Linked DNA regions of Caenorhabditis elegans. The protein of the gene in region 2 purifies or fractionates together with the protein of the main gene of each other region. This does not show direct contact. Each region holds a gene or a part of one and is shown on either strand. Other genes may lie near its edges.

Region 1 (3,931 bases), on a different chromosome or scaffold from region 2:
ATTCGTGTCACATACCGGGTCGAATTCAGTATTCGTACAATTATGATTGCAGTCTTTCGAAGAACATCGGCCCATGTGTAGTTTCGTCAACGACAAGCCCATGCTTTTCTTCATGATACATTGAAATTGAGCAAAATGACAATCATTGATATGTGTTTCTCCTAAAAATTAAAATCTTCTGTGAAAATATTTAGAAACTACAGGGTAAACAATAATTTTTGGAAACTTCTTCTTTCATGTGAGAAGTTATTTTAAACTTTCGAAATAAAGTATTCAGTAGAATAATTTTGTTTGTTTTCAGAAATATTATGTATAAAATTCTTGTCAAAATGTTGAAACATTATAAAACTTCTTTCGTGTTCGAAAGTATTTTAAATATTTCATTAATAAAATTATAAAGATTGATTTATTTGTTACAATCACTAAGTTTATCACAATGAGTTTTTATAGTTTAGTTCTGCCATCTAGAACATTAATAAAATTTTCAATTTTAAAAAGGAACAAATATTGACATTAAAAAAGAGGTTTGAATATTTTTAATCGGATGCTCCGTGAACATATTCGATTTTTAAACTAGCGTACCGTTTGCAAGTTTTTATTTAATAAAAAACTTTTTTTTGAGAAATATTATTAGGATCAGTTTTTTATGCACTCCACGTACGTTTTTTTTTTCAGAATGTCATTGTTTTAACCCCAATTACGTTATATATACTTCACAACTGAATGGAAAATGAAACCAATATATTTTTATCAAAATTAATTAAAATTCTGAAAGTTCAACAACTTCTGTTATAATGCGATTAGTTCTAGACGTTACACACTTTTTTCTAATATGTATATTATTTGAACGAGTGCAAATGATTTTTTTTCCAATCTAATTCTCAAACACTAACCGAAGTTGTCACATATCGGCGTTCCTACTTTCTCACACTCCTTTTTGTCGCAGCAGGTGCCGTTGTAAAAGAAAAGAAGATCTGTGAAAATAAGTCATTAATCGTAACATAGGGGTCATATCTAAAAAACAAAGAGTACCTTCGTTTGTGCGTTGAACACATCGCAAAAAGCACAAGTTGTTGTAAGTAACGTTGTCGGTCCCGCAAACAGGACGAATCACGCTAGGACAGTCGCAATCCGGTGGTGGCGAGAATCCTGTAAAAAGCAAAATTAGCATTTTCTCTTGCATGTATTTTCACTCATAAACATCATATCTGTCATTCAACACATTACTCTAGCCATTAGCCACCAAAAGGAATAAAAAGAAGACATCCGGATAAAGATGTTCACACTTGTCTCATCTTTGACTTCTTCTTCATATCTATCACACGTTTTTCTGTGCTAGACCTGTTGAACAGAAAAATAACCTTCAAAAAGAATATCAGAAAGTGGTAAGAACACACAAGTAGGTAAATGGATGTAGGAAACGAGGAAGGAAGTAAGACTTTTGTAAGGAAAAAGATAAATGAACTAACTAAGATAATTTTTAAAAAATTTTTATTCGTGGCCAATTGTTAATTATGTATACCTTTTTGATTCTCTTCTTCTTCACACCTGCTATCAATAACAATTATTAGGAGAAATAAGATAGAAAGAAACACGTTTCTACGGATAAGCATGCTGGTTGGCGGTGTTCCACATGAAGACGATTGAGGGAGATGATCAGTGATTAAGAACCCAATGGGATAAATCACAAAAACAGATGTGTGAAACCGTATGGAAGTACTTCTTAAGACACGGAAGGATTCCGTAGACTTTGCAAACAAGGGGTAACGTCAAATGCGGGCGCCGTCACTGGAGGCCGTCAACTTGCGAAAAGGCAAGTTCTCTTTACTCATCGTCAGTAACTCCTCCCATCATTTTTTTTTGGTCTTACGTCGAGAAAATGAGAGGTTGACGGGTGCGTAAAAGGGAAAGGATAGCAACGAGCTTTAATTGAAAGATCGAACAGCTGATTCGATGGGATTACACTAGCTACGGAAATTTTGAAAAGTGACACTTAAGATGATAATTTGTTAGTTGAACTTGCTACAGATCCATATCAGCTTCCGTTGCGGTGTAAGTGTGATAACGATGCGAATTTAATGAAACAACTTGATGCCCATTGTAAATGTGTAAAAATATTATGTGTGGTCTCAACAAGCTTTGCAAAGTTGTTCAGAAAATCAAAAACTGATAATCACTATGATATCAGCATTGCTATGCTTTATTGGAAGCATAGGTACTTTTGGGCTCAACTAAGGTGAAGTAGCGTCAGTAGAGAAGTTATCGAAGCTTACTACAATGGTGTTAAAATTAGAAAATATTATAGTAAAAGTTCTCAAAAGCGTTTAAAACATTGTTTTTTTGTAGTCGAAAAGCGACGCAAACACGTTTTTGACTGAAAATATTTTAAAAATGTGGAAAAAACAATTGGAAATGATTTTGTTCACATTTCTAAACCATTTATGTTTAAACACTGTGGGGGACTGTGCTTTTCTTTTTACAAAGGTTGGTACAAACTCATTCTTTGTCGTTTTTGTCTGTTAATATAAACATTTCAAAATGATTTGACCAGTTTTAGTACGATATTCGATACTTTCGGCTCTACAGGAGTAGTTTTAGCCAAAAATCCAATTTTTCAATCATTTGTTATGCTTGTTACGCTATTACCGTATTTCCTCTATTAGTCTTGCACCCCTATGTGACGATTGAAAATTATTTTCGCATGCAAGACTAATAGAGGAAATACGGTATGTTATTCAAGAGTTCAAAACTATTTTAATCGGAAGATTAGTTTAAAGAAACGAGCAACTGTATTCAGTACAGTTTAAGTGCAATCTTCAAAACAGTTCATTAACGTTCAGTTAAGTTAAGTTCATTGAGTTCCGGAACATAATCCTCGTTATCATAGTAAGATTTAAATTTTCTTTTACTCATCTCAATAGTTTCACAGACGACACTCACTTGACCTGATGAAATCACTATTACTGATTCAGAAATAATTGAAAAATTGCATTTGCAGATATTTAGTGCCAGCAGTAATGTAATCATTTTCGAACATGGGTGTGTTCATATGTAGTTGAAGGTACACAAATTATATCTTATAAACAAAGATATTTGATTCTTTCCATGGTGCGGTTGATGTTAGTCGGCCTGAGCGGAAAATATTTAGTTTTAGCCAAATAATTTTTAAATATTTTTAGACAATGTTTCTAATAAGCATTTTTTTACAAAATTGTTTCAAAACATTGCTACAAAATTTGACTTGAGTTCCATTTTGGGTGTGTACTCCTTACGTAAATTAATTTGTTGGCAATTTTAAATTGATAGGTCTGATAAGAAATTGAATCATATCAGGAAACTACATATTTCCAACGAGTCGGTATGCGATCAAAAGCGAACTATCATAATTGCACAAACATATCGAGGAACACTGTGATTATGCAAATTTTAGTATAAAACACAAAGAAATATAAAACAATCTTTTTCATAACATTCTTTCTCTGCCCTACACTATTTAATACTTTCTACAAAATTTTTGAAATTTATAAAAAAACAACTACAATCTGTTCAAAAGTCAATTAAAATGCTACGATCTCAAAAAATCATCTAAGTATGCACGAAGAGCGTTTAGAATTATTACAACCAAGTTTATATATTAACCGAATTAGTACAACATATTAACCACATAGCATTCGTTTTGATACATATCCATGACAAATCTGCATTTCAGGGTTTCCGAGATCGATCTGATTACTTGAAAACTGAACCGTTTTTAAAATCACAAGCAACAAGTAAACATTCCCAACAATGATAATAGTCTAATTCAAAGTAAAACGTAAAGCCAGTAGACCGAACTACACTGTTGTTATTTCCAAACAGACTTAATGTTTTAAGCCAAATATTTTCATTCATTTCATTGTTGTAAATGTTGCTTTGAGCAATAATATCTAAA
Region 2 (3,931 bases):
TCTTTAAGCTCTTTGTTTTGTGCCACTGCGCGGGATACGGTCGCTTTTTCGTTCTGTAAATTCGAAAATTTGAAAAATCAGGGAAAAATATTGAAAATTGTAAATCTACCTGTAGTTGCTCTGAAAGAGACAACAAATCAGCTCCGTTTGCAGTTGACTCTAACGTTCGTTCTTCCAAAAGTCGATATTTCATTTCAAGTTCTGCCAATGACTGTTCTCTTTCGAAAATAACTTTGTCTTTTTCTAGAATTTCTTCTTCTCTGCGTTTCTGATCATCCTCACTTCTTCGTTCCCACTTCCCTCTTTCAACGAAACACGCTTCACGAATCCGTCTTGCTACATCTTCTTCTGTGATAGTTGGAATTTCATCATGCCTCTCAGAAACATCCATATTCATTTGAAGCTTCTGCAGTTCAGATTGAGCAATTTCGAGTTGATTTTCGAGATGTTCAACTTGATCGTTTGAAGAAAATTTTTGATTATGCAAATGCTCGATTTCTAAAGCCATCTCTGCTTGCTTTTGTTGAAGTGCATACTCTCGATCAGCATAGTGAGCTTTTAATGTCGCAGATTCGACGAGAAGACGTGATTTTTCAGCTTTAACGTTCTCCAGCTCACGTTGCAAGTTTTCATAATTCGTATTCTCATTCGGAATCCCTCCCGGCGGTCCTGTGGCTCCAAGTTGTTTCAAATAAAGATCTTTCATTTGAATGTCTTTCATGAGCTGACTGATGCGATTTTCTTGAGCCGCCGTTTCTTTTATCATACTTTTCACACGTGCTTGTGCTTCACTTCTCTCGTGTTGAACATTTAGCAGGTTAGCTTGCATTGATGCAACTTCTCGTCGAGCTCCTTCTAGCTCTTGATGACGTGCAGTTAATAGGGAATCTTTTTGTGCAATTGCTTCATTGAGTTTTCGAATTTCGTTTGACGAAAGTCCAGATGATGTTGAATTGCTCATTTGGTTGGCAATGTTCTCTGCAGCAGCCAGCTTGTGTCGAAGTTTTTCGATTTGCTTGTTTGCCTGACGAAGATCACTTTGAGACGAAACTTTCTCTTCAACCATTGCAGACAATGCCTGAATACTCCATCATTAAATTAAAATAAATAAAACGAGTAATCCTTACATTTTGGAGTTGGACAATTTGATTTTCTGTATCCACATGTATTCCATTTGCATTGACTTGTGAATAAGCGGAATGAAGTTGGGAGTAATGGGCACACTAAAATGATTTTTTTTTTAATAAAATCATTATTCATATAATTAACGAATTAGTTTTTGTATTTGTCAATTTCTCATTATCCTTACCAATTCGTCATGCTGGGTCTTCAATTGTGTATATGCCTGATACCATTCGTTTCCGTTCGGTTGAAATGGTGAAGCCTGAAGAAAACATTTACTCATTTAACGATGTTATCGATTTTCTCACATCCAATCCATTTCTTGCATTCAAACTTTGTGCAGAAGAAGATGAGTGTGGAATTTGAAGCGCTGTCGAATCTTCACTGACAACGCTGCTCCGTCCATTTAAACCTGCTCCAGCACCCGGCTCTGATGAAATGATACTTGATGCAGGAGAATTACGTCCATCGAGTCTTTGACGTGCTTCAAAGTCTTTCAGCTGTAAAATTTACTCTATAAACTTTGTTTTAATAAAGTTTCCTCACGATTCTCACCTTTTTCCTGGCCGCTGCCAGCATTTCAGCTTTGGCAGGTGCAGCGGCATCGACCATATCACTGATTAATCCAGCTTTACGCCGAAAAACAGTAAAATCTATCGATTTTAAAAGCTGAAAATGAAAAAAGACGTGGAAATTAGTGGTTGGACGCAAACACCGCAATTGACGACATAGCGCAGACAACAAAGCGAGTTCGCAATGAAAGCAGCAGAAATTCACACAAAAAAGAAAAAATAATAGGTTTATGTACAAATAACTAACGAAACTTTGGAAATAAATGCTAAAAAACAACCGAGCAAATTAGAAAACTGGAGGCTTGTGATCAGATGAGACAGGCGAATCGGTTTGCCCCTTGGTGAGCCAGGCAAGAGGTTCTCGTGTGAACGTGCGGTATGCTTCTAGAATTAAGTAGTTGAAGATAACATTTTAATTGAGAATATCAACTCACTAGCCCACTTTGAATCAGGATTGATCTCATCTTGGAAGTAGGCATAAGAAAATATCAGCATGCCTACTCCAAATGCGATTAGGGAGTTCTGGAAAATACTTAATTCGTTTTTAAAATTGATTATCAAAATAGACCTCTCTAAAAGAAAGCTTCTTTCCTCCTTTAGGTAACTGATTTTCCGTGATTTCCTTCCATTCGGCCTGCCCGTCTTTTCTTCTGATTAAAACACGCAAAATCCGAGTCAATCTCATCTGGAACAAAATCTGTTTTATTTTCTGCCTTTTTATTTGTTTTAAAAATTGGAAACGAAAAGGACAAAGCGAGAAGTCAAAGTCTTCCAGTAATTTGATATTTTAGAAGGAATTGAATTGGTCATGGAATTCCGGAAGGGGACAAAATATTTTTAAACGGACATAGGAAATGGGGAATTTTATGAAGCAAAATATATGTTATATAATCGAATGTATTAAATTTGAAAAAAATGTGAAGAAAATTAATAAAAAAATACTAGGAAAAAAAATATCTTCAAAAATTTTTGATGAAAACGCGCCCCATTGGCACTTACTAGAGACACAATACGCAGGAAAACGAAATTTATGAGTACATAGAAGTGAATATTGGAAAATGTTCTTCAAAACTTTTCATGACAGTGTTAAACTGAAAATTAAAAAGAATGGTGATCATAGTAGCAACGAATTCATATGAGATATATGTAAAATATTTAAAAATGAAGGATAAATGAGGAATATATAATTCCCGAGTGTGGAGGGGTACTGTAGGAGAACATAAACAAGCCTATTATCTCTGTATACTGTAAAGCATTAGAATACACAAGCAAATTTGAAGATTATATTTTGGTTATTCGCTCAGTTTTTAAAAATATTTGGAAAAACACTGATACGAGTTTCCGAAATTTTTGAAGACCAATTGTTCAGTACCTAGAAACCTTTCGGAAAAATAATCAATGTCATTACTGTAGTTCTCTGAAAAAATGTGTTATCTGAAACTGTCACTTGCATATAAAATACGACCTTCCTCCAAATCACGCTCTGAGCACAATCGATCTTTCTACTCCAGCTGTGTACATGGACGGACATAAAGGACAGCCGTCAGTGTCACTTCCGCGCCACTTTTTTCAAATGTTTTATGCAAGTTTTTGGTTTAGTTTTGTTTCGAATTTATTCCCAATTGAATTGAATTCGTGACTGCAGAAGAAAATCGAATCGAATCTCCTTTTTAGCGACTCGGATATACCCTGAATTTTTTTTGGAGTACTGTACTATAAACTTTCTCTCCACTTCAGCAATATTTATAATATCCTATAGGAGAACGGCTACTTTCTCGGAACAAAAATATTTCTACAAAACTATTTTTTAATTTTTGCGCAAATGAATTAAGAATTCTCCTTTGGCGGCTGCGGTTATATATTAATTCCAAACTTGTATAGAAAACACACGAAGTGAGGTAAAACCTATTATTATTCAGTTTTTCACTCAAAAATACAGTCCTTGATCTTGCTACGACCGAAATATGTCCGTCGAGTACACGGTAAAGTAGTTTGCGCCTCTAAGGAGTACAGTAACCAACTATGGGTTACTGTAAGACTTATAGGCGCATACATTTTTAACAGATTCAATTTGAGAACATTTAAATAGTTCGTGGCGAGGCCAAATATCGTAATCTTCGTAAAAATCGGTAAAATTCACGGATTCATATTGGCTAATGTGGTAATTTCAATTATTCAAGAAACTTTCTAAATAGGAAGGAAATCACTGAAAAGTTTTAAAAAAAATTACAGTGACT

What was found.
Region 1: the proteins of golg-2 (region 2) and F29G6.1 fractionate together in Caenorhabditis elegans (co-fractionation; one large-scale study listed by BioGRID). This does not show direct contact.

The regions. Positions count from the first base shown.
Region 1 is NC_003284.9:11,500,144-11,504,074, reverse strand, and holds the start of F29G6.1 (Kazal-like domain-containing protein), read right to left. Parts: upstream 1,809-3,931; 5' UTR 1,614-1,808; coding exon 1,523-1,613; intron 1,150-1,522; coding exon 1,033-1,149; intron 975-1,032; coding exon 894-974; intron 162-893; coding exon 1-161.
Region 2 is NC_003280.10:5,038,301-5,042,231, forward strand, and holds the start of golg-2 (Golgin subfamily A conserved domain-containing protein), read right to left. Parts: upstream 1,792-3,931; 5' UTR 1,735-1,791; coding exon 1,678-1,734; intron 1,623-1,677; coding exon 1,431-1,622; intron 1,385-1,430; coding exon 1,310-1,384; intron 1,224-1,309; coding exon 1,128-1,223; intron 1,079-1,127; coding exon 110-1,078; intron 54-109; coding exon 1-53. Other genes in the region: F33G12.7 (uncharacterized protein), read right to left, coding at 1,981-2,078, 2,129-2,216, 2,263-2,379.